3 linked regions of the Tamandua tetradactyla genome follow. The protein of the gene in region 1 purifies or fractionates together with the protein of each later gene. This does not show direct contact. Links are inferred from orthologs where the notes say so. Each region holds a gene or a part of one and is shown in the gene's direction. Other genes may lie near its edges. The genes, in order: USP4, EDC3 and RBBP8.

Region 1 (11,079 bases):
TACTTCCCTAAAACGCATATGTACACCCACGCATTCTATCATTCAACTGTGTAACCACTACTGGCTCTCACCCCACCCCACTGAATCAGCAGCTCAAATTAAGCAAGAGTAGGAATCACAGTTTGCATTAGCTTCTGGTTCATGCAGAAGTAGCTGAAGGATATTACTTGCTCTGGGAGCAGCCAGCAACATTTAGACCACAGACCTGAGAAGGGAAGGGCCCTGCTATCACTCAACTGGGTTCAGAAGCTTCCATTTTAGCAGTTCTTCCGGAAATACCCTTCTTTTAATATATTAAATCTGATAAAGTTAGGTCAGGCACTTCTTGCAAATTAGCCCTTGATCAGATGACTTTCTTATTCTTACTGTCTCAATGCATTTTTTCTGAAAGCTTATTTTTAGAGAAGCATTCCAGCATGATCCAACTTAATAAATTTCTTAAGTTTTAACTTCTGGGTTATACTTGGTAAAAAAATACCAGCTAAAATTTCCACAATATAATTTGCAAAAACCCCAAGTGCGATTTCAGGATTAGAGAAGATAGTGGTCACAGCAATTCAAGTGGTCAGGGACAAAACTGGGCCTGTCTGAGATATTTGCATCCATTTATGCCAGTGCTTGCCCAGTAGTCAGTGCATCAGGGATTTCATTGAGAAGCTCTATGTGCAACAAATATTGTATGATGAAATTTATATGAAATGTCTAGAATTCGAAAATTCAGGGAATCAGAGAGTAGAATACAGGCTACCAGGTGTCAGGGGGTGGGGTGAATGGAAAGTTATTGCTTAATGGGTACCTATTCTTTGGGGTGATGGAGGTTTTGGTAATCTGTGGTGATGATGATAGCACAATGTGAATGTAATTAACGTTACTCAACTATATATTTGAAAATAGTTAAAATGGTAAATTTTGTCTTGTATATATGTTCCCACAATAAAAATTTTAAAAACCCCATAGAACCATACAACGCAGAGTGAACACTGATGTAGAATATTGACTTTAGTTACTGAAATAATCCTAATAATATTGATTCATTAATTGTAACATGTGTACCACACTAATGCAAAATGTTAATGATAGGGAAAACTGTGCCTGTGTCTGTGTGGGGATAGTATATGGGAGCCCTGCACTTTCTGTGTAATATTTCTGTAAACCTGTAATTGTTCCTAAAAAAAAAAAAAAAAACTAGTCTATTTTTAAAAAAAGAATACAGCATAGATTTATAAGAAGCAGACGATGATCCCTGTCAGATTTCTCTGAATTTGGTATGTTTTTATTACACTCACCAAAAGAGCATGCTTCGCACACAGAAATGTGACATGCCTGGGCTGGCAGTGGCATTAAAGTAAGAGCTGGCTACACAAATTACTCAACACCTGCCTTATGTCAGGTACTGTTGGATTAGGAGTTGGGGGCACAAACAAGAGAAATCCTTGCCCAAGGAGCCATTACACTGCAATGACATGATTAGTACTGACTCCCAGAGAGGATATGTGCAGGTCAGAACGACTCCTGGACATACATTCCAAAGCTCTTTCTCCTGGCTGGCTAGCAGAATCTGCTTTCCTAACCAGCCTCTCAGTCCCTGCAAATGCAGGGGCAAGTGATCTGATCTTTGACTGCAGGGAGGTATGGGGTCTTCTAAGAGCGCCGTGATCCAAGGGGATGAAAAAAGGAAGGTTCCTTCCTGCTTCTTGCTGGTAGATGTTGTTGAGTGTATCTAGAATGCTCAGGACCACGGCAGCCAGTCAACTTGGGGCTCTGAAGGAAAGGAAAGCCAAGAGGGCTGCACAAAAGCAAACCCTGAGTCCTGACATCCTTCAGCTTTAGGCTCTCCAAGACCTCAACCCTAGGTTTGTCACATGTGCAAACAAAAACAAAACACCAAAGCCACCAACAAAAGCCACTTCCTTCTGGGTACTCAGTTATTTACATTCAGAAGTACCAATGAGACTGACATGATATGACAGTGATGTGCTGGACAGGGGCCTGGCAGACTTTACATCCTGCAGGCAAAGACCAGTTATAGTTGTGCCCTGAAAGGCCAGGGTAGGAGGAGAGCACAAAGCAGGTCCATTTGACCCAGACATCTAGAGACCTGAGCAGTGTCCAAGGAGAAGTACAGCCTGCCCTGGGAGGTATCTTACAGTCCGGCAGCCCATATGACCACGAGGAGGCAGGTGAAGAGGTTCTGAATCTTCTTGAAGAGTGTGTTGCAGAGGAAGCACCTGTTATCCCACTTTCTTCTGTCTCTAGCATTTGGTGAGTGCACGTGTATGTGTGTGTGTGAATTTAAAGCATCCCTTTAAAGCAGACTTCATCATCCATCCTTAAAGGCCAAAGGGAATGTTTTAAACTTGCTTTTGCTCCCTATACCAGTCACTTAAACTTCTTTACCAGTAAACAGTCTACAGCAGGAACCTCCATGTTCCTTTTATCACACAACATACAACACTGTAATTAAAGGTGTAGCCGTCTTCTCCAACCACATTGGTTGTGATCCCCTAGAGGGTAGAGACTGTGTGCATATAACAGATATTCAAGTACTATTAGTCAAATGAAAGAATGACTAATATGTGGATAACTTTTTAATTCATTAATCCAAGAAATGTCTACTAAGAATATACTCTATGCAAAGGGAAAACAACAAATACAAATCAACATCTAAATATCTGTTCATGGTTATGACATTAATGGTAATGGAATTAGAGGAAGAAGAGAAGACACTGGCCACAAATGTGTCCAGGGTACCACACCCTCCCTGCCCAACAGTGGCAGAACCGAACTGAATCTGTCCAACAGCATGAGTTCCCAATGCAGGAAAATGTATCTGCCTGCACCTTTGTAGAATTATCTTGATCCCACTTGATCTCTGTGAGACTCGTTCAGTTTTTTACCTCTGACACCTTCCCGGTAACCTAATCCTTATATAATAGAGGTTAGAAAATACTAATGAGACATTTAGTTCTTCTAAAGCCTATTTCTAGAGCCTTTTACTTTTTCATAGTCCCCTTCTAAAGTCTATTTCTAGAGCCTTTTACCTTTTCACAGTCCCCTGGGTAGGTTGAGGATGCATAGGCAAGAAGGGGAACCAAAAATAAATCTTACCCATTGTCAACTCTGATTAAAAGGTGCCCACTATTTTTTGAATTCTGAAAGAATGAGTCTGCCATGTATGCTTTGTAATCACTGGCCAAGTTTGAACCTAGGGTGACTTAGGAGGGCCAACTCCAGTCTGGCATAGACAAGCAGTAGTCCTAGCCAAAAAAGAACTTTATGATTTGGAACCAAATAAAGATTAAATGTTGCACACTCAGACCTGACAAATACTTGATTAGACCATCTGTGTTAGTTAGATTCAGTTGTCAACTTGGCCAGGTGAGCATACCTAGTCTTGTTGCTGCGGACATGAACCAACAGTATGTGAAACTCATCTGTTGCCAATTACATCTGCAGTCAGCTAGGAGGCGTGTCTGCTGCAATGAGTGACGTTTGACTTAATTGGCTGGTGCTTAAATGAGAGAACACAATGTTGCACAGCCTAAGCAGCGCAGCATTCCTGATCACAGCACTGGCAGCTCAGCCCAGGCCTTTGGAGATGCAGAAGGAAGTCACCCCGGGGAAAGTTGTTGGAACCCAGGGGCCTGGAGAGAAGACCAGCAGAGACCATCCTGTGCCTTCCACATAAGAAAGAACCTCACTGGAAAGTTAGCTGCCTTTCCTCTGAAGAACCAACAAAATAAATCCCCTTTTATTAAAAGCCAATCCGTCTCTGGTGTGTTGCATTCTGGCAGCTAGCAAACTAGAACACCATCACAGTCCAAAGTCCAGCAGCAGTGTCCAATCAAGCCTGTTTCCCTCTAGCTCTCTTCCTGCTTTCTCTCTCTGACCCAAGCTCCCTTGCAACAGGTGGGTTGTACACCCCTGGAGTTTGACCTGGGCACCTTACTAGATTTATACTTCTTCCTTGGGTGAAATGGCTCAGCAGACAGCACAGTCCTGGGGCCAGGGTACCTCCTGGGCTGAGTCACTCATTCTTGCTGTTTCCTACTTAGTTCATAGGTCACTCTCACAATAGCAAGAAACACAGGCTTTGCTCATTGTTTCTAGTTCTCAAATTTTTAAAAAATGTATTTTAATCAAACTCACTAACAAAGTTTAAAATCTTTGGAAACGATGATCTTTTGATGTGAAGATTCACTTTATTTCTCACACTGTTAACCACCGGTTCTTTGCAATCTTCATTTTTAAGGAATTACCCATAATTAGTGTACTACTTTATAGCCATTTAAGAACATTAAACAGTTCCTGGTTTAAAAAGATTTTCTGAAATTTTCCTTTTTTAAAGTAGGTTTTGTCCTCATTTCTAGGGACAGGACTGGTGCCAAAGACTTGTCCTACTTCCCTCAGTCTCTGACCCATGCCATAATGGTATAAGGAGAAACTGCTAAAAAAAAAAAAAAAAAGATGGAAAAAGTAACCCTTCAATGTAGGTTCTTAAGTAATGTCCATGACCCAAAAGTTTTCACCATAAATAACAGGAATAAAGGTAGTGTTTCTGTTTGATAACATATTTACAGTTTCAAAGAACTTTCACAGGAGGGGACTATGGGTTGTCAGGGTTGATTCCCCAGTGGTAGAATCATCATACGATGCAGGGGATTAAGTGCTATGCAGTTACTCAAGGCAATTTTAATTACAAATTTATTTTCCCGTTACCTAACCAGCTGCCAAGAGGCTTCTGTTGCCAGATGGTGCCTGATGGATGTCCCAGGGAGTGGTAACTAATTTTAGTTAGCCAAAATTCAATGTAAAATTAGCAAATTTGATACTGTGAACTAGTGATTGTATACTTCGGATGGTTAGTATGGTGTGTGAATATATCTCACTAAAACTGCATTTTAAAAAGTAGCAAATTTGTTCAAATGAACTACCACACCTTCTCACTGCCAGCCCTTCTTCCACCCCAACACAGTGCCTCATCTATTTCTCCTCTCCTCCCTTAGTTATCTCCTCAGTGAGAATTTCCTAATGAGTCTCCTGGCTGTACCACTGTGGGTGTGAAGCACACTTATCCATTTTATCTCTGCTCCAAAACCTTCTACAATGTGTGCTTGCCATTTTAAGACAAGACATACGGTTCCTTCAGCCTCCTTTCCAGCTTTAGATCCTCTTAGGCACTTTCAGTAGTTTGTGCCCAGCTTAACTGGCCTCATCCCCACCCTGTGATCCTGCCTTGCCTGTTCCAGAAATTCTCTTTTGATCCTTCTAGTCTCCCCTTCTGTAATATGTGCCCCTAGCTCTTCAAGATCACACTTAAATGCTACTCATGTCAAAGATTCCACTTCACAGCTGGGAGTCGCACCTGGCACTCCTACAGCGTTTTGTTCATTTTTCTATTGAACTGACAACACAATGGTTGACATTTGGTCATTTGTCGATACTTCTCTATTAGATTACATGTTCTTTAAGGGCACGAACTGAATCTTATTTTTCTCTGAGGACAAATAAATGGGGACTCACGTATGCCAGCTGCCCCACCTTCACCTTGCTCTGGGCTTACTTCCCCCGCCAGGAGGAGAAGCGTGTGGAATACATACCGTATTCAGTACATTATGTCTCGAACAAATAAAGAAGATGCCTGGGCACCTAAAGGTGAAGAACATACTCGAACCTCCCCTTTTCTTCTTCCCTGTTGCTATTATCCCTCTGTAGCTGCTTGTTTCCCTGAAAAAGCTCAGTGTGGGAACGCATTGGTTTTGCGAAATTTTGCCGTGGACTAGTTGATTCTGGTGACAGACTGCTTCAGACTATTAATAAGACCACAAGGTCAAGTCCTGGTCCCAAGACCTTGGCGGCAACGGGCACTTCCTGGAATCCCTGCAGGGCTCGTGGGACAGGTCCCCCGGTCGCCTGTTTGGGAAATTCACGACTTGCTTAAGGTCTCATGCTGAACAAGAGGAAATGGCAGGAGTAAAAACGAGAAAAGCTAGTCACCGGGCTTAGGACTAGGGTAACCTCACAGCCCGGGAAGAGGAACACGAGGGGTCATAGGACTCGCAGGCTATCTCCTGGAGATTACCAGGCTGGACAGAGCTTCGGAGTCTGCACTAGGTACCAACCTAAGCGAAGGAAGGAGATCTGGCCGGCCACACAGCTAGCCAGCCAGGAGTTAGGCCGGAGGGCAGGAGGAATTGGCGACTCGTTTCCAGCTATTCCCATCCGCCTCCTGTTTCAGACCCCTCCTTGCTCCACTGTGTACGGGTGGGAGAGCAGCAATGCACAATGTGCGGTGAGGGGAGATCGGGCGAAAAACAAGAGACCCGCAGACCAGCAAAGCAGCACGAAGTGGCCTCGGGTGCGCGCACGTTCGTGCGTGCGTGCGTAGGCGCGGCCTGCAGCGCACCGTGCGCGAGGCGGATGTCCGGGCCGGCTGGGCCAGGACCGCGGAGGAGATGGCGGAAAGTGGTGGCTGTCGTGAGCTGCCGGATACGGAGACCCAGAAGTCCGAGCTCGGGGCTTTGATGAGGACAACGCTCCAACGGGGGGCGCAGTGGTGAGCGCCGTACCCACCTTTCCGCCGCGCAGGGCCGGGGCCGGGACTCCGACTCTCAGGCCAGGGTCCTCTTTCACGGCTTGGCAGGGGCTGGTCGGGGCGGTATCTGATGACCCTGAGAGGTTGGCTTTGACCCCGCCTCTCGTGAAAGGAACCCCGAGATTAGTTCTGGGAAAGCGTGGGCGGGGTTGGGGATCGTCGAGTCCCATTCGGAGCCTCAGGGGGCGGGCCCGGCTTGGGCAAGCGCCGCAGAGCGGTAAGGAAATGGAAACGAATGTTCCCGGGGACTGTGAGGGTGGGGACAGTCCGTACTATCGAGGACTCGCCTTGTGACCTTGCGCGAAGGTATTCACCCCTCACAGGCCCTGTTTGCTTACTAATAAAAGTAGGGTAGCGGTACTTGGCCCATCCTCCTCGCTAAAGGGCGAGGATCAGAAGTAGATACATTGTAAGCTACAAACTGCGTAACAGATATCAAGGTCAGAAGCTGAACCAATGTCTGTGAGCCCCAGGGTATTCTGGTAGCAAATGTCAAAAATAATGGTGGCAGCAGCATTTTGGGATGGGAGAGGTGGGTAGCCGAGAGCTTGGAGCTAGAGATAGGGAGATTAAAAGTGCAGAATTTAGAGGAGTAAGGTTGAAATATGAGGTTTCTTAATAGATTTAACCCTGGATCCCCGGGTTAAATAGAATATCGTGTGGCAGTAGAAATTGAAAATGATTACATCTCCCTCTTTAAGAACATGGTGATGATGATAATGCCATTTCTAGTGACAGAGGAATTGAACATGGAAGAGAAACAAGGGTGTTAGGAGGAGTTCAGATACAGCTTTACCATGTTCATCTTAAGCTAGCCAAGCTGTGAAAGGCAGGGCAAAGCAGAGGTACTTTTGAAAGTTCTCCTGTATAGAGGTGATATATAAAAAAGAATACTAGGCAGAAGCAGAGAAAATTTAGATAGACTAAAACCACTAAAAATATAGGGAGAGCATCGCTTAATGGGTTTGGAGGGAAAAGAGTGTTTCAGAAGTTTGTGTATATTTATGGATCCTTGTGGCCTCAAGAGTTAACTGACCATCTCTGAGGTTTGTTGGTTATAAAATTTGAAGGTCTTAGTATAACTGTTGTGTTTTGTTGTCCCACACAGTTTCACCCCTACTGTCTTTATTGTCAAACAGCATAGTAATACTTTCAGGTTTGTGTTTCTTTCTTAAGTATAAAAAGCAAAAGATTGAACCCAGAACTCACCTAATGCTTATTTGACTAGTTGAACAAACATAAACACTAATTTGATATATATGTGTACATACATATATATATTCCATTTTAATGAGTGTAAGGGGAATTCACAATTATTACAGTCTTCTAGTCTTACTTCACTACGTAAGAAAAGAAAGTGAGCATTAGATACTTTCACACGTTTTTGGATATCTCATTTGGTCCTCAAAGGAAAAATGAAGTCAGTGGTACTATAATCCCATTTCTAGAAATAAAAAAAAGATTAGTACTCTTCACATTAAGCAAAACAATGTAACGGTAGACTGTCTACCTGGACAAGATCATTATGAAGTTACTTAATTGTTAGGCAAACAGGATTTTAGCCATAGAAGGACTTTAAATAAACTTTTGAAGCCAGTCATTTCCTTCCTTTCATTCTTTGAACAGTCATTTCACTTATTGTACTCCTGCCCCAGGCCCTCTGTGCCATGTGGGGCCTGGCCCTGTTCTTGCTCTTGAGAGTGTGTTTTTTTTTAATGGGGCCTCTTATGTGTTAGCCAAGATAAAAGAGCATAAAAAAGATTAAGGGAGCAGACTCGGAAACTTGTAACCTCAGCTTTTCTGCCACATTACATTTTTTCTGTCTCTAGGTATCTTATTGACAGTCGGTGGTTCAAGCAGTGGAAGAAGTATGTGGGCTTCGACAGCTGGGATATGTACAATGTGGGTGAACACGACCTGTTTCCTGGTCCAATAGATAACTCTGGACTCTTTTCGGGTACAGTATCTTGCTTTTCTTTTCAACTGAAATGCATATGAAATGTTTACATGGCCTGAGGTCATGTTTTTCTGTAACAGGAACATTGTGAACCTGACTTCCCCAGATGAGGATGGTATAAGGAAGTTTCCTTGGTTTGGGTCTATAGCAGAAGTCTTTGTAGACCTTCAGAAGTTAAGCTACTTATTACCTAAATAAACTGCTTCTAACAAGAGCATGCTTCTACTATTTAAAAGAATTTCTTTTCTCTCCCCCCCCCCGCCCCCAAGTTAGTCCTACTACAGAGTTTAGATTTTAGATTAGTATCCTGAATGGAATCCCTTTTCTTTGGGAATGAGAGGGTCATATCAGACTGGAAATAGGTTATCATTTTGAAGTTGCGTCTGGAATATGAAATTTGGGAACCAGGTTTTTTTGCATTGCCTTTGCAGTGAAACGAATTTGTAGACTCATTGACGTTCATCAGACATTCCCGTGATGGCAATGTTTGTCACAGCAGTAATTTGAAGAGAGGTGGAAGGCAAGTACTGTTAAGACCGTAGTCAGCTTCCACAGGGAACTGTGGGAAAAGTAATTCATGACCCACCTGAGCTGGTTGCACATGTAAATGTACAGAGATGTCAGAATCAACCTTTCCCTCATTGTGCTCTGTTTAACTGTACACTCACTCACAGGTAGGACAGAAGTGATCTGTCACATGTAGCCAGAATCAGGGCTAGTAGAAGGCAATGAATGAAGCTTGATCCAAGTCCCTAGATAATTATAAAGACAAGAAATATTTCAGCTTAAACCTTGTTTTAAGGGAAGTCTAAACGACATGATGAACAATGTCATTTGCTTTATTTTCTGGTATAGGTTGTTAGGTAGCTCTGTATTATGAAGTTGCCCTGAGTGGTTAGGAAGCATTGTATTTTGTTTGCACTTTGCGCTTTCCCTTCTTATTTTGACAAGGAGAATTTTTAAGGTTTTTAATTTTAATAATAAGACTCAGAGCTGGAGATGGCTGTCTAAGGTCATTTGCATGACCTTTAGCTAAAGGTAGGATTTCCTTCTGCAGTCCCTCAATTCGATGTCACCTGACTTTGGCTTGAAATGTCTGCTGTGTGTTTACAGGTGAGAAGCATGTTCCATTCAGATTCTGGAACACTGACCTGACAATGCAGGACAATTCAGGAATGACCTGACAAATGACGTTCACCCCCTCAGTACCTTGGCTTTCAGTCACCTGCTAATCCCAGCCTGGTTGTCTTGTGCCCAGACTAATGGAAAGAATTCTTAGTAGTGTGTGAAGGAGGAGAAAGAACATATCCTTACTGATGTAGTCAGCAGAGCACTCCTGTCATTTTTACCTGTGTCCTTACTGTGAATCATGTGAGATCCCTGTGCTAAGACTGAAGCTTTGCTCTCATTTTTCTCCTTTATTCCCCTCTCTGTTGAAGAAAATCAGTTCTGTATGATTTTTAGCATGAGTCCCTGGGACTGATCCAGTTTTGAGTAAAAATGATGAACTGCATTGAAAGTTCCAGTTAATTTTCCTGCACTTGTACAATTAATGTAATCAGAATGACGTATTTGGGAAAATTGTCACAGAGGGGAAAGAGTCTGTAGAACTGATACATTTGGGGTGTATGAGACTGAAAGCTGCTGGTTCTTTTCCCTCAATTAAAGGTTTCTTACTAATATTTGACACGGTATGGCCAGATCTGTGTGGTGCTTAGTATTAGAAGTGATTAGGGTATATTCCTCTAAGCAAGGCAAGAATAAGTGAATGATGTTCATGAGTGTTGATTTGTAAGCCAGAGAAAATTTTTTAGTTTAGTTTTCAGGGTTTTTTTGACAAGCTCTTGTCTCAGCAAGCTGAGAAGTACTACCCCTGGATTGTTCTTCTGTCCTGATCAGAAAGGGCCTGGTCTGTCAATATTAATAATCATGCCAGAGCTGCTGCTGTTAAAAATGGTTGGCTGCTCATTAATGGGGAGGATTCCTCTTGGTATTCTTCTTCCCCAAGGCTGTTGACTTCCTTTCCTTTTTCCTTGGGAATGAGAAATGTAGAAGTGGGTCATGTCAGAAACCTGCCTGTAATTCAGGGTCACATCCTTGGTGGGAAGGATGGTGGGAAGCCCTAGTCACCCTGTGAATTCTCTTATATAGTTTTTAGTTCCACATGAGTTGTACTGCTATACTTTCTTTTTTTTTTAACTTTCAATTTTGAAATACTTCCAAACATACAAGATAGTTAAAAAATAATACAGAGCGGGCCACGCTGGCTCAGCAGGCAGAGTTCTTGCCTGCCATGCTGGAGACCCAGGTTCGATTCCTGGTACCTGCCTATGCAAAAAAAAAAAAAAAGGTGGGGGGGAAATAAATAAATAAAACCCCATACAGAGAACTCCAGCATACTCCTATTCCCCCCAGTTACCCAGACCCACCAATTTTAACATTTTGCCACATTTGCTACATCATTCTGTCTGTCTTTTTTTCAATCCATTAGCACTTGAATGTGGGTTCATACATCATGTTTCTTGAA
Region 2 (10,556 bases), on another chromosome or scaffold:
CCCCACTCTCCAGTGCCAAAATCTGTTCTAGTTTGCTAGCTGCCGGAATGCAATATATCAGAAACAAATGGCTTTTAAAAAGGGGAATTTAATAAGTTGTTAGCGTACAGTTCTAAGGCTGAGAAAATGTTCCACTTAAACAAGTCTACAGAAATGTCCAATCACAGGCATCCAGGGAAAGATACCTTGATTCAAGAAGGCTGATGAAGTTCAGGGTTTCTCTCTTGGCTGGAAGGACACATGGCGAACACAGTGTCATCTGCTAGCTTTCTCTCCTGGCTTCCTGTTTCATGGCTCCCCCGGAGGCATTTTCCTTCTTCATCTCCAAAGGTCACTGGCTCGTGGACTCTGCTTCGTGGTGCTACAGCATTCTCTGCTGTCTCCGAATCTCTCTCTCTCTCTCTTTTTTTTTTTTTGCATGCTGTATGGTGGGGGTCACATTTCATTCTTTTTCCATATGAGTATCCCATTATTACAGCACCATTTGTTGAATTTTTGTTTGTTTGTTTTGTTTTTTGGGAAGTGCATGGACCAGGAATCAAACCCGGGTCTCCTGCACGGCAGGTGAGAATTCTACCACTGAACTACTCTTGTACCCCCTATAAGCTTTGACTATTAACTTTACATTCTGAGGCACTTTACCGTTTGTATAGTCTAGTAGTTCCCTGGAAATTTAAGTGTCTGTGTTACATCTGAGACTCAGATTTGGTTCTCCAGCTCTGAAAGTCAGCATGGATCCATACAGCAACTGTTAAAAAAAAACTGAAAAAGATCAAACTCTGATTAAAGATGTGATGAAACTGATCTGGTTAAAACTAAGGTAAATCAATATACAAGGTAAACACACACACACACACACACACACATATATATATACAAAACATATATACATATACATATAAAATATATATATATATAGTCTATGTTTTAAAGCTTAAAGTTTTGTGTAAGACCAAAGGAAAAATGTTTATTTTATCCAAAATTTAAACTTTCTGTAGCACACTAATTTAATATGTCTAATCAGTTCATTTAAACAACCTAATACAGCTTTATTTGACCCTGGAATAAAGAATAAAATCTTAATATTCTATACAAATTAATGTTATACCATACTGCATTTCAGAGTATTTGGGGCTGAAAATGGAGGAGTGTTTGCAAAGTCCCTTGAGGGGCTGGGAAAAATAGAACTATTGAACTTCCTCACCTGGGGAATTCCTCACATTTTCTTAAGAGGGCCTTGCAATTGAGTAGGCCAAGGCCTCAATCTTTTTTTTTTTTTTTTACATTCAATGAATATATTCTTTTTAAAAAATATTTTTATTGTAAACAACAAACAAACATGCAAACATTCTTAACATACAAACATTTCTTGACATGGTTATAATCAATGGCTCACAATATCATCATATAGTTGTGTATTCATCACAAGGGCTCAGTCTTGAGGCTTGCCCTTATGAAATTACTTCTGTAATAGCAAACTGAACCTACTTAGGATTAGTGCCTAAGAGTCATCTCCAGAAAATTTGAGCTGTTGCTCAAATGTAGTCTCTAAGTCAAACTCTGACCTTTCCTCCTACGTGGGACATAACTTCTAGGGGTATAAGCTAGGCCCTGGCATCGTGGGACATAACTGGCCCTGGCATTATGGGACATAAGTTCCAAAGATGAGCCTGGCCTTGAATTGTGAATTAGTTGACTAAAAGGGGAAAAATAATGGCTAAGAGATTTCAAATGGAGTTGACAGGTCATTCTAGAGGTTACTGCTATGCAAGTTTCAGCCAGATATTACAAACTGCCACAGTATGGCAAACCCCAAAGATATCCTTGGTTCTATAAAATTTTACTTATTAAATTTGTTTTTTAGAGACTTAAAACCTCCACATTGTTTCAATGCCAGAGAAGTTCTGAAACCCCAAAATACTGGACCCTCCAAGAGTAACAACCGGCTTCATTGTTTCATTCTTCTGCCGCTTAATGACAATGCTCCTTTTCAGCTTTGAAGCAGTTACAGAGTCATCCCTCAGATATCCCTCAAGATTGAGAGATAATTATCAAATGAAAGGGAGAAATTGTAACTGAAAAATTAGGATTTAAGAGATGATGATTTTGATTACTAAATCATATTCCTTTTTTGCTTTCTGGAATATTGGAATAGACAGGGGAATATCTGAAATCCCTAAACTATAATTCAGCTCCCCTGATATCTGAAATGATTGTAAAAGCCCTTATCTTGTGTGTTTGTGACTGTAAGAGCTGTTACTCCTTTTATCCGGTCATTTTCTTGTAGGGGAGAGGCTCTAACGCTAATGAAGAATTTGAAGTCAGCCATTTAACTAGCTTCAGGCCTTGACATTTGTAAATTGCATCACCTAGGCCCTACTATTGAAAGATAACTTGTCTCCCTTCCTTTTGGCTCATATTTTTACTATTAAAGTGATAGCCCTGTTTCCCCTCCTTTCAACTTATGTTCTCCTATTGAATGATAATAGCACTATCTCCTTTTCTGCTTTAACTTGCTATACAAAATGACCTCATCTCCCCTTGCTAAAATCCTTAAAACCCTTGAGTCTCCTAAACTCGAGGAGACAGATTTGGACCGCTAGGCCATCTGCTTACCTACGACATGCCTAGTAATAAACACTTTCTCTCTTTGAAACCTTGGGGTGTCTCAGGAATTTGTTATTGAGCACATTGGGCAAAAGAATCCATGGCCTCTATCCAGGAATACCAGGAGATGCCAGGAGCTAAGAGTGCCAACAGAAGTTAGATAGGAACCAGAGCCAGCAGATGTCACCATACGCCTTTCCAAGACAGTCTAAGATAAGAGATGAAACCCGAGTTTTGCCCCAGAGCAGCTAAGTCAGGACCCACAAATGCTTAGAGAGGAAGTCACTGGAATCACTAGCACAAAGCAACCAACTGGGAGCAAGGACCTCAGATGCCAGCCATGTGTCTTCTCAGCCAACAGAGGCATTCTGGATGCCATTGGCCTTTCTTGAGTCAAGGTATCTTTCTTCTGATGCTTTATCTTGGACATTTTTATGGCCTTAGAACTGTAAACTTGTAATTTAATAAATTCACTTTATAAAAGCCAACCCATTTCTGGCATATTGCATTCTGGCAGCATTAGCAAACTAAAACATCACCCATTATTAGCACTTTAATAACTGCTTAGTTACTGATGACTTCTAAATCTCATACCTCTCTCCTGAACTTCAGATCCACATATCCTATTTACCACCAGATGCCCCACAGTAGGCCCACCTCTAACATGTGCATGGCCTGGACAAGAATATAAAGGGAGATCCCTGACTTATTACCCTTTTTCTTTCTACCCATGTTCTACTGCCTCTACCCTCCACCCCACTGTAAAGAACCTGTCAGGTGCACATTTGTGAACACCTCAACCTGAATTTCCAAGCTTTATCCATATTCCTCCTAAATTTCCAAGCTCTATTCATAGTCCTCCTAAATGACCATCTTTTTGGCCACTCTTTAGATTTAGTAGTGTGCACATTGGTGGTGTGGTCCACCCTTAGGAGGAATGACCTGGAAAAGTGCTTATCTATTGAAGGATGTGAGCTTAGCACCATTTGGGAGAGAATTTAGGGACCTAGGAACCCAAAGTGCAATAGGATCTGAAGAAGGGTGTGAGCACTGGATAGTCATATCCTCTTGGTGCCACAGGGAAAGGCTTGGCTTAAGGGTAACCATCTAAAATATGGGGTCTAGAATAGGGACCCAGTTGCCACCAAAAGATAAATATTGTATTATTTCACTGATAAGAATTAATTAGAATAAGCAAATTCATAGACAGAATTCAGGTTTCTAGAGGCCAGTGTGGGGGTAGGGAATGGAGAGTTAATGCTTAACAGAATTTCTGTTTGAGGCGATAGAAGAGTTTTGATAATGGATTCTGAATCATATATCTGAATGTGGTAATAAGGGAGACTTTTAGGATGTATATATGTTACTAGATTAAAAAAAGAAAAAAGTACAATATAGCTGAAGCAGAGTGAACCCTTGGGTAACCTATGCACTAGTTAATAGGATAATTATGTTTCATCAGCTTAAACAAAGGTACCACACTAATACATTATCAATAATAGGGAGAACTGTGTTTGGGGTGGTGTTATGTGGCCACTCTTGTATTTTCTGCATTATTTTTCTGAAAACCTGTGAGTTGACTAACAAAAAAATTTTTTTACAAACAGAACTGCAAAAAAGAAAGAACACCTACTTGTCTTTCACAGCTTCTTTGCTTTCTCGTAATACAAGAAGTTCCAGTATATGGTGTATACTCCTTGCTCCCACTAATGTTTACTTTTTTTTTTTGAATGGTTAGGCACCGGGAATCGAACCCGGGTCTCCAGCAGGCAGGCGAGAACTCTGCCTGCTAAGCCACTGTGACCCACCCTCCAAACTAATGTTTATTTTTAACACAGTATAGAGTCAACTTCTATATCTAATAGTTGCAGCAAGGACAAGGTGTTTGGAAGAGTGTTACTGCACAATCGCCTTCCCCAATTCTGCTTTAATTTGAATTCTACATTCTGCTGAGAAAACACACCTACTGTGTAGAACTAGATATGTATTAGTGTGGAGATGATCAGAGCCCAGAGAAAATGGCAGTGAAAGAAACAACTAGATGAGGCATTGGAGGAGTGAACCCCTCAATTTCCGTGTTTTGGGCACTGAGGGGTGAGGGAGGCTTGGAGAGGCACAACAGAATTAGCTAGTCTTTTAGGAATATCAACCATGTGCAGGTGCACATTTTGCGATTTAAAGTTCACAACCACTTTAGCTATCATCTCCAGTTTGCCTTCAGAATTGTACACCTCTGGTTTGTAGAAAAACATGTTTTTAAATGGTAGAGCAGGTAATACTTTCGCATTTTCTAAAACAAATTGTTCATATAATTTAGAATTTATAGCCAAGGAGCCTCAAAGCTTAGTTTCACCATAGGATGGTGCTGGTTAATTCTGAGAGAAATCGTTCTGTAACAAGGTAGGAATGTCCATCTCTGTTTTTTTGGTATTAGGGATAGGTGGTATAAAACTTATTAAAACAATCTGACCAACATCAAAGGAGAGAAATGTTGATTATATAGCATAGGATATCATAACTTGAATGTTCTCAGGGAGGCAGCATGTCAAAAGGTCTTGGTTCCAGTCCTGGCTTCATCATTTACCAACTGTGTGACTTTATTTAATCTCTGATACTTGTTCTCCTCTCCTAATAGGAAAATAACACCTACTCGGCCTAACTTACAAGGATGTGTGGTATATGTGAAAGTACTTTCAAACTTGTAACATGTTATACAACTATAAGGACTCATTATTATATTTGTTCCAAAATTATGAACACAAATCTGAACATAAAAAAAAAACGTGGAGCCAGGATTCAATCCTGAATCGGAAACACCAATGGCTCTCAAATCCGTGTGCGCAGCAACTTACTGGAAAAAAAACTTTAAGAAACAGATGCCAAGGCCCCTCCACACCTAATAATACTGTATATTCTTGGTGATGGAGGGTGAGGTGGGGAGAGAGAGGGCGGGGCGCAGAACAGGACGCTATCCTTGGGGAATGTAAAGTCTATAAAATTCCTCAACTGGTTTTGTAGAACCAAGTTTTAAAACCACTACTTTTTATGGTTTACTTTATGTTACCTGATAAGAAGTGGTTCCCCAAACAGGAGTCAGACTTCAAATATTCCTGTAAACTTTAAGTTAGAAAATTCCTCATTACACTCAGTATTGGTCGTAAGCATGGTTTTTCGAAATTGAGACTATCAAGAGTATAAACTGCTAAAAGCAAGGAGAGTGGTTGTGGGCTGGTTCAGCCAACCAGACAGGCTGACTCTAATCCCCCAAAAGGGGTAAAGCTGTTAAACTTGAGGATTAATCACAAAAGGAATTGTTGTTTCCTTTAAGTCGTCGCGGGGTTGGCCTACTTCTTGCGACTCACAGCAACGACTGAGCAAGGATCGGGTCTCAGGTTCCCAGGAGCGTCGGTAAGTCCTCCGCTCTTGCTCGATTAGAGGGGTTGGGGAGAATTGGAAGCTTTCCCTCAAGCCTGCAAAGGAGTGTGGAGTCGCTCAGATGACTGGGCTTGGGAAAGAGGGCAGGATCTCGACTCTAGCCAGGATTCAGCCCGAAGTAAGTAGGCGATGCGCAAAATGGCCGCCCAAGAGCTGCTACGGAAGTCCCCAAAGTCGGTCTTCGCGGCGTTCTTTTTTAAGTTCTCAAATTTCCCGACGCTCCGCCCCTTAACGGTTTTCCGGTTTGCAAGGCGTCGCGCCGGAAGTGATGTTACGGTGGCGCCGACACGCCGAGGTGCTTCCTGCGGGGGAGTTTGTGGGGGTCTGTGTGGAGAAGCTCTTCAATCCCTGTTTCCTACACAGGTTACGCGGTCGTCTGGGTGTCGAGTGCTGCCGGGGCGCGGGTCGGACGCGCGGAGGTGGGAACCAGGGGAGTTGGCTTATTTGTCTGTGCCTGTGGGAGGGGGCTTCCGGGGCTGCCAGTCGGTTCTGTCTTTAGGCTCCGGGTTCCGGCCTTGTAGACTTTTACAGAGCCATACACGAACTGGAGGCCCCATCGGTAGGGCGGGGTGGGGGGGCAGTTATTAGGGGATGTCCTAGGAGTTGAGGTGGGAGTCCGAGGACAGCGCGGTTTTAAATATCCTGGGAGTAGCTTGAGTTGTGAGGCATTAGCAGCCTGGGCTCTTAGTCCCGCCTTGTTGGTGGCTGTTGCAGTTCACATGTTTGCTTATATACTTTGCTCCATACTTCACTTTCCATTTGCACCATGAGGGAGGTTGGTAGGGAAGCGCGTGAGTGACTCACCCATGACATAGATTCAGAACAGAGATGAGTAGATTCAGGACAGAGATGAGTCCGGGTCTAGAAGGAGACACCTGCCAGGGCGCAGGTTCTACTAAATCCCGGGAACTTACCCTTGATTCTTTCCTGCCTGTGGTGTAAATCTGCCGTTCTTATTATTAGTACCCTGAATTGATATTGACTTATCAATTGGCCGGTTGCTCCTCAATAAATCTCCAAATTCTAGAGCTAAAAAGAGTATTAACAATTCTCTTTCCTGGTTACAGGATGAGGCACTCCAGACCTGGATTTTTTCCCCTCTCCTTCCTCACAACAGACTAAATTAATTTTAGTTTGTCGTCTTTCAAATATAGGTCTTATTTTCACACACAAAAAAAGTGACTTTCTTTGAGCAGCTCAAAATTTCAATTGGAAAACTCAGATGGATTTTAATTTGAATGGCAGGTTTAGGTATATTGAATACAAAACTCCTAATTGTTGATTTCTCTGTATGAAGTGAAATGGTTGCAAAAAACATGACTTTTTGATAAAAGTTTTTTTTTAACAGAAAAATCATGCAGAAAATACAGAGTTCCCATATATTCCCCCACTTAAGAATTTTTTGGGTGGAGCCACTTTTTGGGGTAGGGCTATGGTACCAGAAAAGTGCCTCTGAAACTTTTTTGATCTCTGACCCACAGTTAGATACATTTTCGTGATGACTTTGAGTGCCTCCTACATGCATGAGCCTGCGCACACACACAATGAAACAAAATTTACTTATTCTTTCTACAGATGATACCTTCTGACATTTGTTTCATTAAGAGAAAAAAAAGGTTGGTTGCAACCTAAGAAATTGATTGTGATCACCGATGGGTCATGACCTGAGGTTTGAATAATATTGGGTTAGAATATGTGTTAAGAGTCTTGTCATTACTGAGATTCTGCCATTAGTACAAAATGGAAGATGTTTCATTTTTCTGTTCTTATCAGGCAGAAGAGCAAGGTTATTTGAGTTCTGAATTTTTCCAGGACAATAGCAGAGGATACATAAATTTGCATTTCAATGGTGTATTGTCTCCATGGTGTCATAATTTTAGCAAGGCTTGTTAAGTCTTTTTTTGGTCGCCTGGTAGGTGAGAGCGAATTTGCCAGGAGGTGGTAGAATTAGGTGACATCATGACTTCCAGCATCTGTGTCTAGAGGGGTTTGATTTATTGATGTATCACAACTTAGCGCTGGGATGCTGATGATTATAGCTGAGACTCTCTATACACAGTATGAATTTGAAACCTTATCTGGAAGGTGTACGTATCAGATTTGCTGCCTTATGAAGAGAAAGTGTCGTCTGGTTGATGACTTGCCAAAGTCATCATAAAAAATCTCAAATTTAAGATGGAAGAACTGGATAAATGTGAGGTATTCCACTTGGGTCTAAAATTATGTTACTTAGCAGGGTAGCAGGGAGGGCTTCATGTAATAAAAAGATGTGGGACCTCAAACACTACTGACAAACACCGTCTGAATCAGTGGTATAGTTAGGCTGTGAAAGAAATTGATGTGATCTTCATTAGTCTGAATCAGTGGTATAGTTAGGCTGTGAAAGAAATTGATGTGATCTTCATTAGTAGATCATATTAGGACAATGTAATCACTTATGCAAGCCAGGTAGGATATTAGGTTTAAATGGAATATTAGATTTAAATCTGGTTACACAGAGTAAATTTATGGGTAGGAGTTAAAAAGAAGTCAGAATTTGTTACATTTTAAAAATTTTTTGTTGGCTGACAAGATGTAATAGCATTGTTTTGGCATGAGTGATTTTTTTTCCCTTGTCATTTTAGGCTTTCAGGTATAGGCTGGCTAGTGGTCTTAAAACATTTTTGCTTGAGAGTCCCCAAAAGATTGGAAGTTCAGTGTATCTCCTTCACACTTTGAAGTTGGATCTGAAATTTTTTGTCATAAATTTAAATAGCTTGGAATGTAATTTCTGACATGCAAATATATTAACATTTTTAGTTAAATACAAAATTATTTAAATACAGTAGCAATTTTGTTTTAAAAATATGCAAATAAGCTTTTAAAAATTATGTAATATAGTCTATTCCTTGATTTTCAGATGATAAACTTTGCATTCCTGGATTGAACCCCTTCTATTCATGGTATATAATACTTTTTATATGTTGCCGAATTGAGTTTGCTGTGTTGTTTTTTTTTTTTTTTGACATGGGCAGGCACCGGGAATCAAACCCAGGTCTCCAGGAGAGAACTCTGCTTTGCTGAGCCACTGTGACCTACCCGAGTTTGCTAATATTTTATTAAGAGTTTTTTACAAGGAATATTGGTCTGAAGTTTTCTTTTCATATGATGTCTTTGTCTGACCTTAACCTTTTGTTCCATGTTGCATTTTTTTAAACTTTTTGTTTTTATTTTTATTTTTTATCTATTTCTTATAAATATAACAACATACAGGCGCAAACATTCTTAACATATGAGCATTCCATTCTTGGTATATAATCAGTGATTCATAGTATCATCACATAGTTTTATGTTCATCACCAAGATCATTTCTTAGAACATTTGCGTCACTCCAAAAAAAGGAATAAAAAGAAAAAAACTCATGCATACCATACTCCTTACTCTTCCTTCTCATTGACCGCTAATATTTCCATCTACCCAATATATTTTAGTCTTTGTTTCCCCTATTTTTTTTCTATACCCCTTACCACTCCCTTTCATTGATCACTAGTATTTCAATCTACTAAATTTATTTTATCATTTGTTCCCCCTATTATTTATTTGTTTTTAATCCATATGTTTTACTCATCTGTCCATACTGCAGATAAAAGGAGCATCAGACGCAAGTGTACCATGTTGCATTTTGTGGAAGGTCTGAGCTTTGTGCTAGGATGGTACTAGATGTTTTCTATTAAGGTCTTTGCCATTCCCAAGATTTTGATTCTACAAAAACCTTTCCTGATACATGGAAACTATCTAGCTTTTCAGAAGTCCCTAACTAACCAAGTACCCATCTATCTATAGCTGTTGATTATGGTTGTCTTAGGCCAAGAGGTTGCTCCTTGAATCTGAATACTGAGTTATACTTGATGAGGCAAGTGAGATAGAAGTAGCTAGGTCTATGGTTGACAAATGATTTTTTTGTGCTTTATGGATCATTTTGTCAATTGCTTCAGTTGCATATTAGGTGGAAGTCCATTTAGGGCTACCTGACTGTGTCATCTAAAGGCCTCTTACCAGAGAAATAATATTTTTGTAGTCGGAAAATCCTGACGGTTTAGCATTAGACCAAAATTGTCCCATTAAAAAAAAATAATCTAGAAAGTCCTGATGATCTGATATCTGTGTCTCCCTTCCTGGCTACACAAATAATTTGCTCGGATAAATTTTCTTTGCAGAGTGGTAGAATAAGTGTTGACTGGTGAATGCACCAACATTGCGTTTTTGTGAAACTTGTTAACATTGTTGAGTACCACACAAAAGAATTAGTTCTTTTTTAGGTGGTGGTATTTGATTCATTATCATGGATAAAATTTTTAGGAAAATTATATGTGCTTTTATGGTACATTAAATCCTATCACCAAACTTTATACAAGAGGTAGTAGAGGAATGGAATGTCTTAGTAGTATCTGAGCAAAGTAGTAAATGAATTAAAGGGTCCTTTCTGGAGATACTTAAGAAATGGATGCAGAATCAAATGAACTTTGGTACAAGAT
Region 3 (11,122 bases), on another chromosome or scaffold:
AGGCTAATTTTTTTCATTGAAAGCAAGTGTTCTAGTTTGCTAGCTGCCGGAATGCAACACACCAGAGACAGACTGGCTTTCAACAAAAGGGGATTTATTCTGTTAGTTCTTCAGAGGAAAGGCAGCTAACTTTCATCTGAGGTTCTTTCTTACGTGGGAAGGCTCAGGGTAATCTCTGCTGGCCTTCTCTCCAGGCCTCTGGGTTCCAACAACTTTCCTGGAAAGGGTGATTCCTTTCTGCACCTCCAAAGGCCTGGGCAGAGCTGCGAGTGCTAAAAGGAGGAATGCCGAGCTGCTTGGGCTGTGCTACATTGAGCTCTCTCATTTAAGCACCAGCCAATTAAGTCAAACGTCATTCATTGCAGCAAGCACGCCTCCTAGCTGGCTGCAGATGTAATTAGCAACTGATGAAGTTCACATGCCATTGGCTCATGTCTGCAGCAACAAAACTAGGTGCCTTCACCTGGCCAAGTTGACAACTGAATCTAACTACCACAGCAAGGTATTCTCTCTTTAATGTCCATTAAAAGCACTTTAATGACTGTCACAATAAAACTGTTCTGGAGACTCTCCATGAATATTAACTATATCTTAAAAAATTATAAAATGGCTAAATCTAATTGGAATCTTGGCACCCTGAACTCAAATCATAAAGAAGATATTTTGGTATTTGGGGCAAGATCACTAATATATATTCTCACCCACAAATATTTAGTAATTACTGCAAATAATTTTTTAAAAATTAAATTCCACACATTTAAGTTAACACAAATGTTAACAGTTAACATAATTTTCTTTTGTCTTAAAGCTCCTCCTCCTTCTTATCATTCAAACAGCCTTTTGCCTTATTCTTAATATAGTTCTGACTGCAGGTATATAGCTCACCCCAGTTTACCAGTATTACGTAAATTACGTGTTCATGTTAGAGGTCCTAGAAAGTATTATGTGAATAATTATAATGGGTTTAATCATTTAATTTTTCTTTTTTGGCCTAGATAATCACTGATGGGGTTGGGTTGAGGTGGGGAGCGGGAGAGATAGGAAATGCCCAGCACAAACAGTGAAAATTAACTAGACTAGAATCTGTATCCTTGTCCCAAATCTATCATGTTTCTCTAGGTAAATCATTTAACCTCATTTGTTCATTCAACATTCAAATGTTTATTATATTGCTAGACTTGTGCTATCCAATACAGTAGCCACTAGCCATAAGTGGCTTTTAGTATTTACAATGTGGCTAGTCCAAATCGACATGTACTATAAAGGTAAAATACATGCTGGATTTTGGAAACTTAGTATGAAGAAAAAAAAGGAAGTCTTATTAATAAATTTTTAATTGTTACATGTTGAAATGATAATATCTTGGATAAATTGGGTTAAAAAGAACATATTAAGTTAATTTCATCTGCTTCTTTTTATTTTTAAAATGTAGCTACTAGAAACTTTTAAATTATATAAATTTTGCTCTATTGGATAGCTCTATGCTTAGACTCTCTGGTAAGAACTAGAAATATTGAAAAGAATAAAGAAAGCACAGCTTCTGACATCAAGGAGCCCACAGGCAGTTGAGGAAGATAAAAACATACAAGAATAACTAAAATATTAGGGCATTAAATGCAATAATAAAGGTATGTGTAGTGGTATGGAAGAAGGAGGAGGGCCATATGTGGGAGTAGAAGAGTCTAGGAAGAGGGGTAAAAGAGTTGTCAGTCTTCTAGAAGCAATACTACATAAGCTTAGTCTTAAAGGATAAGTAGAAAGGTGAAATGTAAAGGATGGAGGTGGAAGTAATTCCAAGAGAAAAGGACCGTATGAGCCAAGACAAAGAAATAGAAGAGGGGAAGAGACAGGAACAAAAGTAGTTTTCTGTTGATAGAGGGAAAGAATGAAGTGTGAGGTAGAGTACACAAGGCTAAAAAAGGTTTCTGCAACATTTTACAGGGATTAGGCATTTAACCTTTAGGCAACAGAGAATCACTGAAGCGTTTTAAGCAGGGGAGTGCCAAGATCAGAAATATTGGTTTCAATCTCTAGTGGCTCTGTAGAGAGACTGGATTAAAGTGAACAAGATTGGAGGCAGGGATGCTACAGTATAGGTAAGAAACACTGGGGCCTCAACTAGGGCAATATGAATAAGGAAAGTATCAATTCAAAATTATATTTAGGAGATAACGTCAGTAGAATACAGTGATTAACTTGTCCTGACTCCATAGAAATAAATTTGGATTTTAGTCTAAGATGACAAGAAGAACTTGGAATGTTCTGAGCAGGGGAACGTCATGTTCTAAAGTTTAAGGGATCACTTTCAACGCTGCCAGAGAGTACACTATTTGGGGAAAACAGTGGAAGCAGAGAGTTGACCGAAAAAATACGAGGTTGCTGCTGTTAAAGAGGTTTGAGATGACTGTGGCTTGGACCAGAGGCAAAGATGGTGATAAGAAACAAGTGGATTCAGGCTGTATTATCTGCAAAATAGTATTGCCTAATTCACAGGGTTGAGAAAGGAAAAGGGAAGTTTAGGAAGATCACATCTGTTGAGCCCTACCTGTTGTCTTGTTTAACCAGAAGGTTGGATTGTCTGCTAAAAGAACACTGTTCAGGAGCTTGAAGAAAATAGTGAAGGTTTGGAAAACACCAAAGGAAATAGGAGAAGAATCTGAACAAATGCTATTTTAAAGATCAACTGATATCTACATGAGGTTTGAAACCAGTAATAAAAGCGTTACCAGTCTAACTTATGTGATTTTCCCTTCATGCTAAGCTACCCAGTTGTAGGAGTTAAGTACAGGTTATAGAATCAACAAAGAATTTCATTTTTAACAGCCTAAGTTAGATGACTTTAAAATCTACATGAGTTCCAAAATTCTACAGTTCTAACAATTTTTAAATCAAGCATCCTAACCAGGGGCCTCAAATGGGTTATAGGTGTGCTGAGACCGTTAAACTCCCTAGCCCTAAGGGTGGAAGTGCTGGGCCTGGGGAAGACCTCTGACCTTTTATCAAAATATGTAATACAAATATTCATTTTCTAAGTATGCCATGATTGAAAAAATTGGGATCATTGTTTAAAGTCATAAACTATAGGAAAACCAATATTACAAAGAGTTCAAAATAATTACTCCTCAGTTTAAGGACGTTTTCTAAGCAAATCTTTGGGTACTTCATAATTTATTCCACCATACGGGTCTTAAAGCTATTTGGGAGGAGTAAATATCTATGGATATTTCTACTGTTAAAGTGACCATTATAAAACTTTAAAAAGATAATCTAGGAATTTTGAAAACACCCAAAGGTTTCCACATATATAAAAAACAGAAATCCATCCAGAGATTTCTCATTCATTCATTTATCCACAAAGTACTGATTTTAGGCAGGCACTGGGTTGGTTTCTGGAGATAAAATGATGAACAAGACACGGTTTTGACCTCAAGAAACAGTATAGTGAAGAGAAATAAATTTAAATAAATGACCATTTAAATAAACCTGTGATAAATGAAAAATGGGGAATCCTGTGCTAAGTCCTACCTGTAAGAGCACCTAATAGGAGAGACCACTGAAACAAGATAAAAGGATGAACAGTAATTAGCTAGGCAAGAGGACGGGCTTGGTCAAGAATTCCAGGTATAGGGAACAGCACGCAAAGGGCCTTTTGCGTAGAAGACTAGCTCTCAAGACTCTAAAAGGCCAATGAGGCTGAAGGCAGAGTATATTTGGAAATGAAGCTGGAGATGCAGTAGAGGCAGTTCAAAGTGACTTTCTTCACAAAGTAACAGGAAGCCACTGAAGGGTTTTAAGCAGCAATAATGACATCAGATTTACTTTCCAAGATCACAGTAGATGTAATGATCTCAAAGTGGACACAATCTTAGGTGAGAGAAGGAGTTAATATTAAATTTCTATTCTATTTTTCTTATCCTCTAAAAATATGTTATAATATTCAGTCTATTAGCTCACAAGTACTAATAATGGCTACCATTTATTGAGCTTATACTATGTTTATGGGCACTACTAAGCGGTTTTACATACATCAACTCAGTAAATCTTCATAATCTTGTGAGGTTGGTACTATTATTATCCTCTTCTAATAAGTAGGAAAAATGAGACACAGAGGAATGAGGTAACTAGCCCAGGGCCACTCCGGAAGTACTGGAGCCAGGATTCAAATCCAAGAGCTCTGACTGGCAGAGACTGTGACTCAGACTATATACCATCTTTCAGCAATGCATGCGTGAAATTTTTTTTTTCCCTGCATGGGCAGGCACCGGGAACCAAACCCATGTCTCTGGCATGGCAGGCGAGAATTCTGCCTTCTGGGCCACCATGGCCCGCACCATTTGTGCAATTTTAAATTATATATACATATATGAATTGGGAATAGATGCTGACAAATTTTTCTGAACATCACTGAAAAGAAAAGTTTAGGTAGGGTAGTTAGTTGGGTAGAACAGCAAAAGACTAGGTAAGAGATCATGGTATCTTGAATTATCGTGGTGATGGAGAGAAGTGCATGGATTTGGGAGATATTTGGTAAGTACAATTAGCAGGACTTGGTGATGGACTGGGCAGAATAAGGAGGTTAAGGCAGTAAAAGGTGTCAAGGCTGAGTCTTTGGATTCTGACTTTCATAAATGGGCTGGACAGTGGAGCCATTGGCAGAGGACAGAGGAACAGGTTAGGTCATTCCCCTATGATGGTTTTCCTTTGGACCACAAATACAGCCTTCTGTCCATATGCTGTTATCTGACAAACTGGTTATAGACTTTTTCCATTTATTACAAAAACGCCCCAATTCCACCATAAACATTTATACAAGCTTCACTGCCCATTATTCCTCCTATGTGGCCTTGAAAAATAGCATAGGGAATTTTTTCATTCATTAAAAGTGTTATGAATTAAGTCATAAAATTTAGAAGTGAATAAATGATGGTTCCCATAACAAGGTAATGAAGGTTCACCAACACATTTTAAAAATACCAAGTATGGCAGTGCCAGAATGGTGCGTCATGTCCCATTACAATGTCCAATTTCAAGGAGAAAGTTGTTACTCATCTCTTAAGAGCTAGGATGAGCAGAAAAATTAATTTTACACTTTCTATTTATTATTTTCTAAACATTACTTAGAAAACAAGTTTACAATACTACTCTGACCATTTCCCATGCTTAGAAGTATTACAGAAAAGTACTGGAGTAGTTTTTAAAATGTTGTGATTCTAGTTCACCGTCTGTTTTCTTCAGTTTCATTTGTAAAATTCCTAATGGTCCAAAACCGCTTCTGTTAGAAAGCATGATAAAGAGTAAAACATACCATCAGCTTGAATATCATAAAGAAGCATCCATAGGAAAAACTGACCTTATTTTAAACATTACCTAACAGCAAGTTGTCCCAACAAATAATGCTGGTCACTTCTGATTCCTTCTCTTTTCAGGTTCGCCAGAAACTTTCAACTTAATCTCAGCAAAATAAGTCTCGTTTTAATATATGGAGTTTTGTCAGGTTATAACATTCAGTTTCCAAACGATAGGCAAAGCTACAACGCAGAAACTACGGATTGATCCGTGTCCGTTCCCCATCAGTTCATTCTAACTTTCCGTTTGGTACAGGTCACTCACAGGCTTTCCTCGAAATTTAAGTCAGATACACCATAAGGTACCTTGCACCTAACACCCGGGACTTAAGGCTCTCCTGACAGAACGGCCTGAGTCGTCTCCAGGGAATCTCAAAGACGCTTTGGCGTGGCCCGCCCTTTGAGCCGCTCCCGAAAGCCAGTCCTAGTCCACCTTCACCCGCACACGCTCTGCCTCGTCCCGTGGGTCTGGGGGCGCAGCCAGACTCCACCGCCGGAGGAAGGGGCGTGGCGCTGCGAGAACTCCCGCGCGACGTCGCGCGGCCCCGGGCGGGACGGGTTCGGCCACCGGTGAGCTCAGCCCGCGATCGTCGACTTTCTCCTCAACAAACCGCGGGCTGGGAGTGCCTGTCTGGTGCAAAAAGAGGAAAAAGCAAGCGGCCGTCTCTTCACAGTCCCCGAAGGCGCCCGCCTCCCTACTGGTCTTTCGAAAATTTCGAGGCAGCACTGGGAGCCGTGGGTAAGGGGACGCTTCCTCCCCCTTTCCCCGGTCGTAGCTGCTACTTCCGGTCGAGGGTGGAGCGCGCGCTAAGCGCCGGGGTTTACTCCCGGGGTGCGGGAGCGTGTTGCGGTTCTCCGACTGTGCCCGAGGAGGTAGGCTGGGGCCAAGGTGAAGTCGGCCCACGGGCGCCAGCGGGAGGACGGGCCCTTCCTCTCCAGCTCCCTTGGTCTCCCGCGCGGGCTGAGGAAACGCCTCCCAGCGCCGAGCCCGCCCCGCGCCTGCGCTGACTACGTCCTGCGCCTCCGCGCGCGCTACCCGCGCCAGTCGCACTTGGCAAAAGCCCGCCGGGTGTTTTGGGGGGACCCGTCCGCATAACTCGCGCGGCACCTGAGGACAGGCGGATAGCTAAGGGGCCTGGCATAGGAACCCGGACCTCTGCTTTGCTCAGATGACCCCTCAGATCTCCTGCTCAGTCTGTCTAGGTCTCCTGTGTGATTCGAGGCGCGTCCTTTGCCCCACCTGTGTGAGAATACGTGTGGTGTGACAGGAAACAGATATTTTACTAAGAACCTTCAGCTTGGTGGCTTACACTGCCCGGGGCGGTGTATTAAATTTTACCAAATTATACAGACGTACGAACCCGGATTGCCACTTGGGAGGTAAGGTGGACATTTCTGAGAAGTTAAGGAGCATCGTCCTATGAGTAACGGTTCAGGGCACTAGGAGTGATGCCAGTCAATACTGGACGTTGCATCATAGATTGGGGAGGTTTTCGTGAACCGGAATTTGTAAGTTTAGTATTAAGTGTTTTAATGGTTAAAAAAAAAAGCCACATAGCCCTTTTTTTACTGTCTAAATAGAGAGGGGTTTCTTAAAGGAGAAGTATTTTATACTCGGTTTTAAACTAATACTATGCTGTTCTTTTAACTAGTTAATGAAAAAATTTTCACACACACATACACCTTTTTTGCCACAAAGAGGAATTATTTTGCAGTTATTGGTATCACTTGTTTCAACCCGGACATAGCCATGTAATCCTAGCTGTGACCATGAGGAGGTCGCAAATGTCTGTATTCTCTCTAAAATGAAATTAATAATAATAACTTTTATAAAATTGTTCGGAGGATTAAGTAAAACGGTGAATGTAAAATGGTACAGTCCGTGGCATATAGTAAATAATAAATGGTAACTTTTATTGACGGTAATACAGGCTGATTATTTTTTTAGTGTTAAAAATAGTAGAATACAAGCCTCTTTGGAAACAAAGCTGTGTTAATGCAGTGCATTTAATCTCATTTTAAAAAATTGTAATGGAAAATATAAACATACCCAAGAAAGAAACACTAGAATTATGGACCCTCTCATATATCCATTCATCATCACCCAGCTTTAATAATTGCCAGTGCTCAGCCCTTCTTTCATCTCCCCATCCAAAATCATTTTTTTGTTTTAGCTGGAGTATTTTAAAACAAATCCCAAACAATATGTCATTTACCTGTAAGTACCTCAGTATATACTCCTTAACAGATTAGGACATTTAAAAAAAATTCTATCATACACAAGAAATGAGCAATAAATTCCAAATATCTGAAATCAAGTACACATTATTTTCACTCATTGTCTTAAAAAAATCTAATCCCAGTTTTTTAAATGCTTAATAAAAGTTAACTTTTATTTCTGCGGTGCTTTATAATTTAAGTGGCTTCACACAAAACCCTTCTTGGGTTAGAAGACCATAGCTTATTTACTATGTTACTCATTTTCCTTTTTTAGTAGTAGCTTCTTAGTGGCTTCAGTTTAAAGAACACATCCTAAAATAATTTATTAATCCTCTTGAACTTCTTAATACCCTGTCACTTTCTTTATTGGTTACACAAGAAATAAAAATTAATCATTCACCATTACTTTGACAGAGGCACGAAAGAGCTTTACCTTAATTGCCTTTCCCTTCTATACTTATACAACTTTGTTGTATATGTATTTTGCTCACTGACTTATGAGAAAGCTATCCAGAGCCCATTTGTATTAATACATCAGTCATTAGTCTTGCTCTCTTATAACACATATATGTCTATATGTATATAGATATGTATATACATGTTGGTACTTGTTAATACAAGAATATTTCAGAATGTTTTCCAGTTTGGGATTCGACATATTGCTGCACCTTACATCAATCCAAAAATTAAAAAGCAATATAGTCTTTTAATGTTAAATCAGTACTGACCATGGTTAATCAAGAACCTCTCAATAGGGCAGTGCAGCAGTGGCTCAGTGGCAGAGTTCTTGCCTGCCATGCTCGGTTCGTTTCTGGGAGCCTGCCTATGCTAAAAAGAACCTCTCAATATCAGGATCCTTTCAATTTAGCGTAATTTAGGTAAAATTTAGCTTAACTAAAAAACGAATTACTGAAATCAGGGCTTCTTCTCACTTTAATCTTCCCTCATTTTTCCCTCCCTCCTTTTAAAGTGATGAATTGTAGGTAAATAAAGAAAACATGAGGACAGCTGGGCTTGTGTTTTGTCCTTGAGTAATCATGCAAAATTCATTTGTGTTGTAATCTTTTGTTTCAGATATATCAATGGTCTCCACAGGCAACTTCATATCTATATAATGTAAAAGAAAGGGTCAGAAAATATTAGGCAAATAAAAGTGTGGAGTATATTAAGCAAGATGAACATATCTGGAAGCAGTTCTGGAAGTCCTAGTTCTGCAGATATATCTAATGACTTCAAGGAACTTTGGACAAAACTGAAGGAGTATCATGATAAAGAAGTACAAGGTAAAATCTTTTCTCAAATACTGATGGTATTTTGGAAAACTGTTCTAGTAATAACTAACTTTTTGAGTAATTTTTGTGTATTTCTAGAAGGAAGAAAGATCTGAACTTTAAGTGAACTTTACCATTGTCATTTTTATGGTTGTTGCTTTTTTTTTTTTTAACTATAGACTACTACTATGGGACACAGTTCTTATACAACTTGTAGTTAATTTTGGTAATATGTATAGTGTGGTGGAATGGGTATAGAAATTGGTGTCTGCAGACCTGGATTTTAATTCTCTTCATTCACCTACTTTCTGTGTGATCACATCACGTAACCTCTGAATTTAATTTTCTTCTGTTAAATGGGTTTGCAATATTTATTCAAAGGAGTATTTATAGATACGAAGATACTGCTTAACTCATTCAAAAAACCTTTTGAAATCTGTTTGCTCTTAAGCACTGAGATACAAAGGCAAATGGCAGTTTACCTTCAAAGAGCTTACAGTTTAATTGTAATAGTCATGTAAATGTATGATTATAGTACAAATTAAATAAGAGCTGAAAAGGTAATACGTGCTACAAAATACAGAGGATTAAGCAATTGTTCTTGGGGTAAATAAATATTATTTGTGGCATTTTAGAATGTACACCTTATGAAGGAATTCTATTAAGCTAAGCTCAAGATTCGATATTGTTTAATATATAAAATACTGTGAATTTAATATAATACACTGCTTGTATGAGAAATTGATATTGCATTTGTTTTTTGTTTTTTATTACCTATTGTAACCATCAGTTTAATACTACAGTGGTTTATAGTTTATAGTTTTAACATCATGCTGAGTGTTATTAAAACATGATTTACCTGATTGTAAAGTAAAATGTGTGAGTCGATGCTCACCTCCTATGTGGGAGACCCGGATTTGATTCCCAGACCATGCACCTAAAAAATATATATTTATATAGGAGTTATTCTTTACTTAATATTAGAGTCTTCCCATGTGATAAATTTAATTTCTGGCAGCGCCTCATTATAATAGCCTCATCATTAATCAATGGTTTCTAAAACATGAACTCCCAAAGTAGTTTTCTTACAAGCCCCAGTGTACTTGGAGACAATTGTGCAAGAAATGCTTTTCAGGCACTTAACTATATATATCAGACCTTGTGAAGGATGAATCAGAATAGTCCTAGTTTTGAAAGGATTTTTTAGTCTAGACGATCCATATGATTTTAGTGCAGTGTACCATCTTGTCTGGCAACATTAAGGGAAGACTCGGGTATTCTGGGGGAAGGGGAAATGGTTTACTCTCAGATTTTACAGTTGATTAAGTCTACTCAACCAGGCAAAAAGGCAGGAGGGGGAAAGGATTGTTCTGAGAGCTGAGATTAGTATATAGAAAGCATAGCAATAACAGCTTAGTTTTATTCAAGGAACTATAGGGAACTATATGCCCTAACAAAGTGATTGAGTGAAATATGGAAGCTTATTGGGGATGTGGATAGGAGATGAAACCAGAAAGGAAAATAAATCCAAATTATATAAAACTGCATGTGCTATGCTATGGTATTTGTTTTCATGTCTTGTTTTTAGAATTAAGTCTGAACTTTCATCTGGAGTACCTTCTTCCGTTGATTGGGCGTTCATGATTCTGGATCTAGACTGCCAGTGTTTAGAAGCCATTGCCACAACTTAAATTGAGGTGGTAACCTTGTACAAATTATATAACTTTATAGTATATTGGTTTCCTTAGCCATGAAATGGAAATACTAAATAATACCTATCTCATATTGTCTTAGATAGTTTAATATATGTAAACCATTTGGAAGTGTGTCTGATACATACATAGTAAGCAATATGTGTGTTAAATGTGATTGCCATACCATCCCAGCTATAGACAATGGGATACTCCAGAAAAGTTTTAACAGAGATTTCACATATTGATTACTTTTTATTGTCCCTTTTAGGTTTTTTTTATCTCTAGAAGGGGAAGAAGGAGGGGATAGCCAAAATAACAAACATGAGAAAATTTAAATGGTTAAGAAATCTTAGGAAATTCTTAGTTTCCATTTCCTAATTACAGTTTTTGATTCCATAGCTGGATAAACATCAGGAACTCTCTTTAATTTTTTTTATCCTAAAGGTTGGAGTTTAGCCACCTCTACTCACCCACATCCTTTACTGCTTTGTTATACTCATTCTTTGATAGATTATACTGTCTAAAGCTTCCATTAAAGCCCTCTTCCGGCACATAGTCCTCCTGATGCAATATGGGTGCCATAGTGTTCATT

What was found.
Region 2: the proteins of USP4 (region 1) and EDC3 purify together in Homo sapiens (co-immunoprecipitation; 3 studies listed by BioGRID and IntAct, with this or other methods). This does not show direct contact. The link is inferred for Tamandua tetradactyla from reciprocal best matches to the Homo sapiens genes USP4 and EDC3.
Region 3: the proteins of USP4 (region 1) and RBBP8 purify together in Homo sapiens (affinity purification with western blotting; 3 studies listed by BioGRID, with this or other methods). This does not show direct contact. The link is inferred for Tamandua tetradactyla from reciprocal best matches to the Homo sapiens genes USP4 and RBBP8.

What each region holds. Positions count from the first base shown.
Region 1 is NC_135341.1:36,907,003-36,918,081, forward strand, and holds the start of USP4 (ubiquitin carboxyl-terminal hydrolase 4), read left to right. Parts: upstream 1-6,395; 5' UTR 6,396-6,455; coding exon 6,456-6,556; intron 6,557-6,775; exon of another isoform or gene 6,776-6,830; coding exon of another isoform or gene 6,831-6,901; intron 6,902-8,424; coding exon 8,425-8,552; intron 8,553-11,079.
Region 2 is NC_135338.1:67,333,879-67,344,434, forward strand, and holds the start of EDC3 (enhancer of mRNA-decapping protein 3), read left to right. Parts: upstream 1-5,983; 5' UTR 5,984-6,160; exon of another isoform or gene 6,161-6,278; intron 6,279-6,309; exon of another isoform or gene 6,310-6,461; intron 6,462-10,556. UniProt on the Homo sapiens protein: Binds single-stranded RNA. Involved in the process of mRNA degradation and in the positive regulation of mRNA decapping. May play a role in spermiogenesis and oogenesis.
Region 3 is NC_135344.1:60,617,529-60,628,650, reverse strand, and holds the start of RBBP8 (DNA endonuclease RBBP8), read left to right. Parts: upstream 1-5,881; 5' UTR 5,882-6,218; intron 6,219-6,372; exon of another isoform or gene 6,373-6,725; intron 6,726-8,639; 5' UTR 8,640-8,739; coding exon 8,740-8,848; intron 8,849-10,424; exon of another isoform or gene 10,425-10,533; intron 10,534-11,122. UniProt on the Homo sapiens protein: Endonuclease that cooperates with the MRE11-RAD50-NBN (MRN) complex in DNA-end resection, the first step of double-strand break (DSB) repair through the homologous recombination (HR) pathway.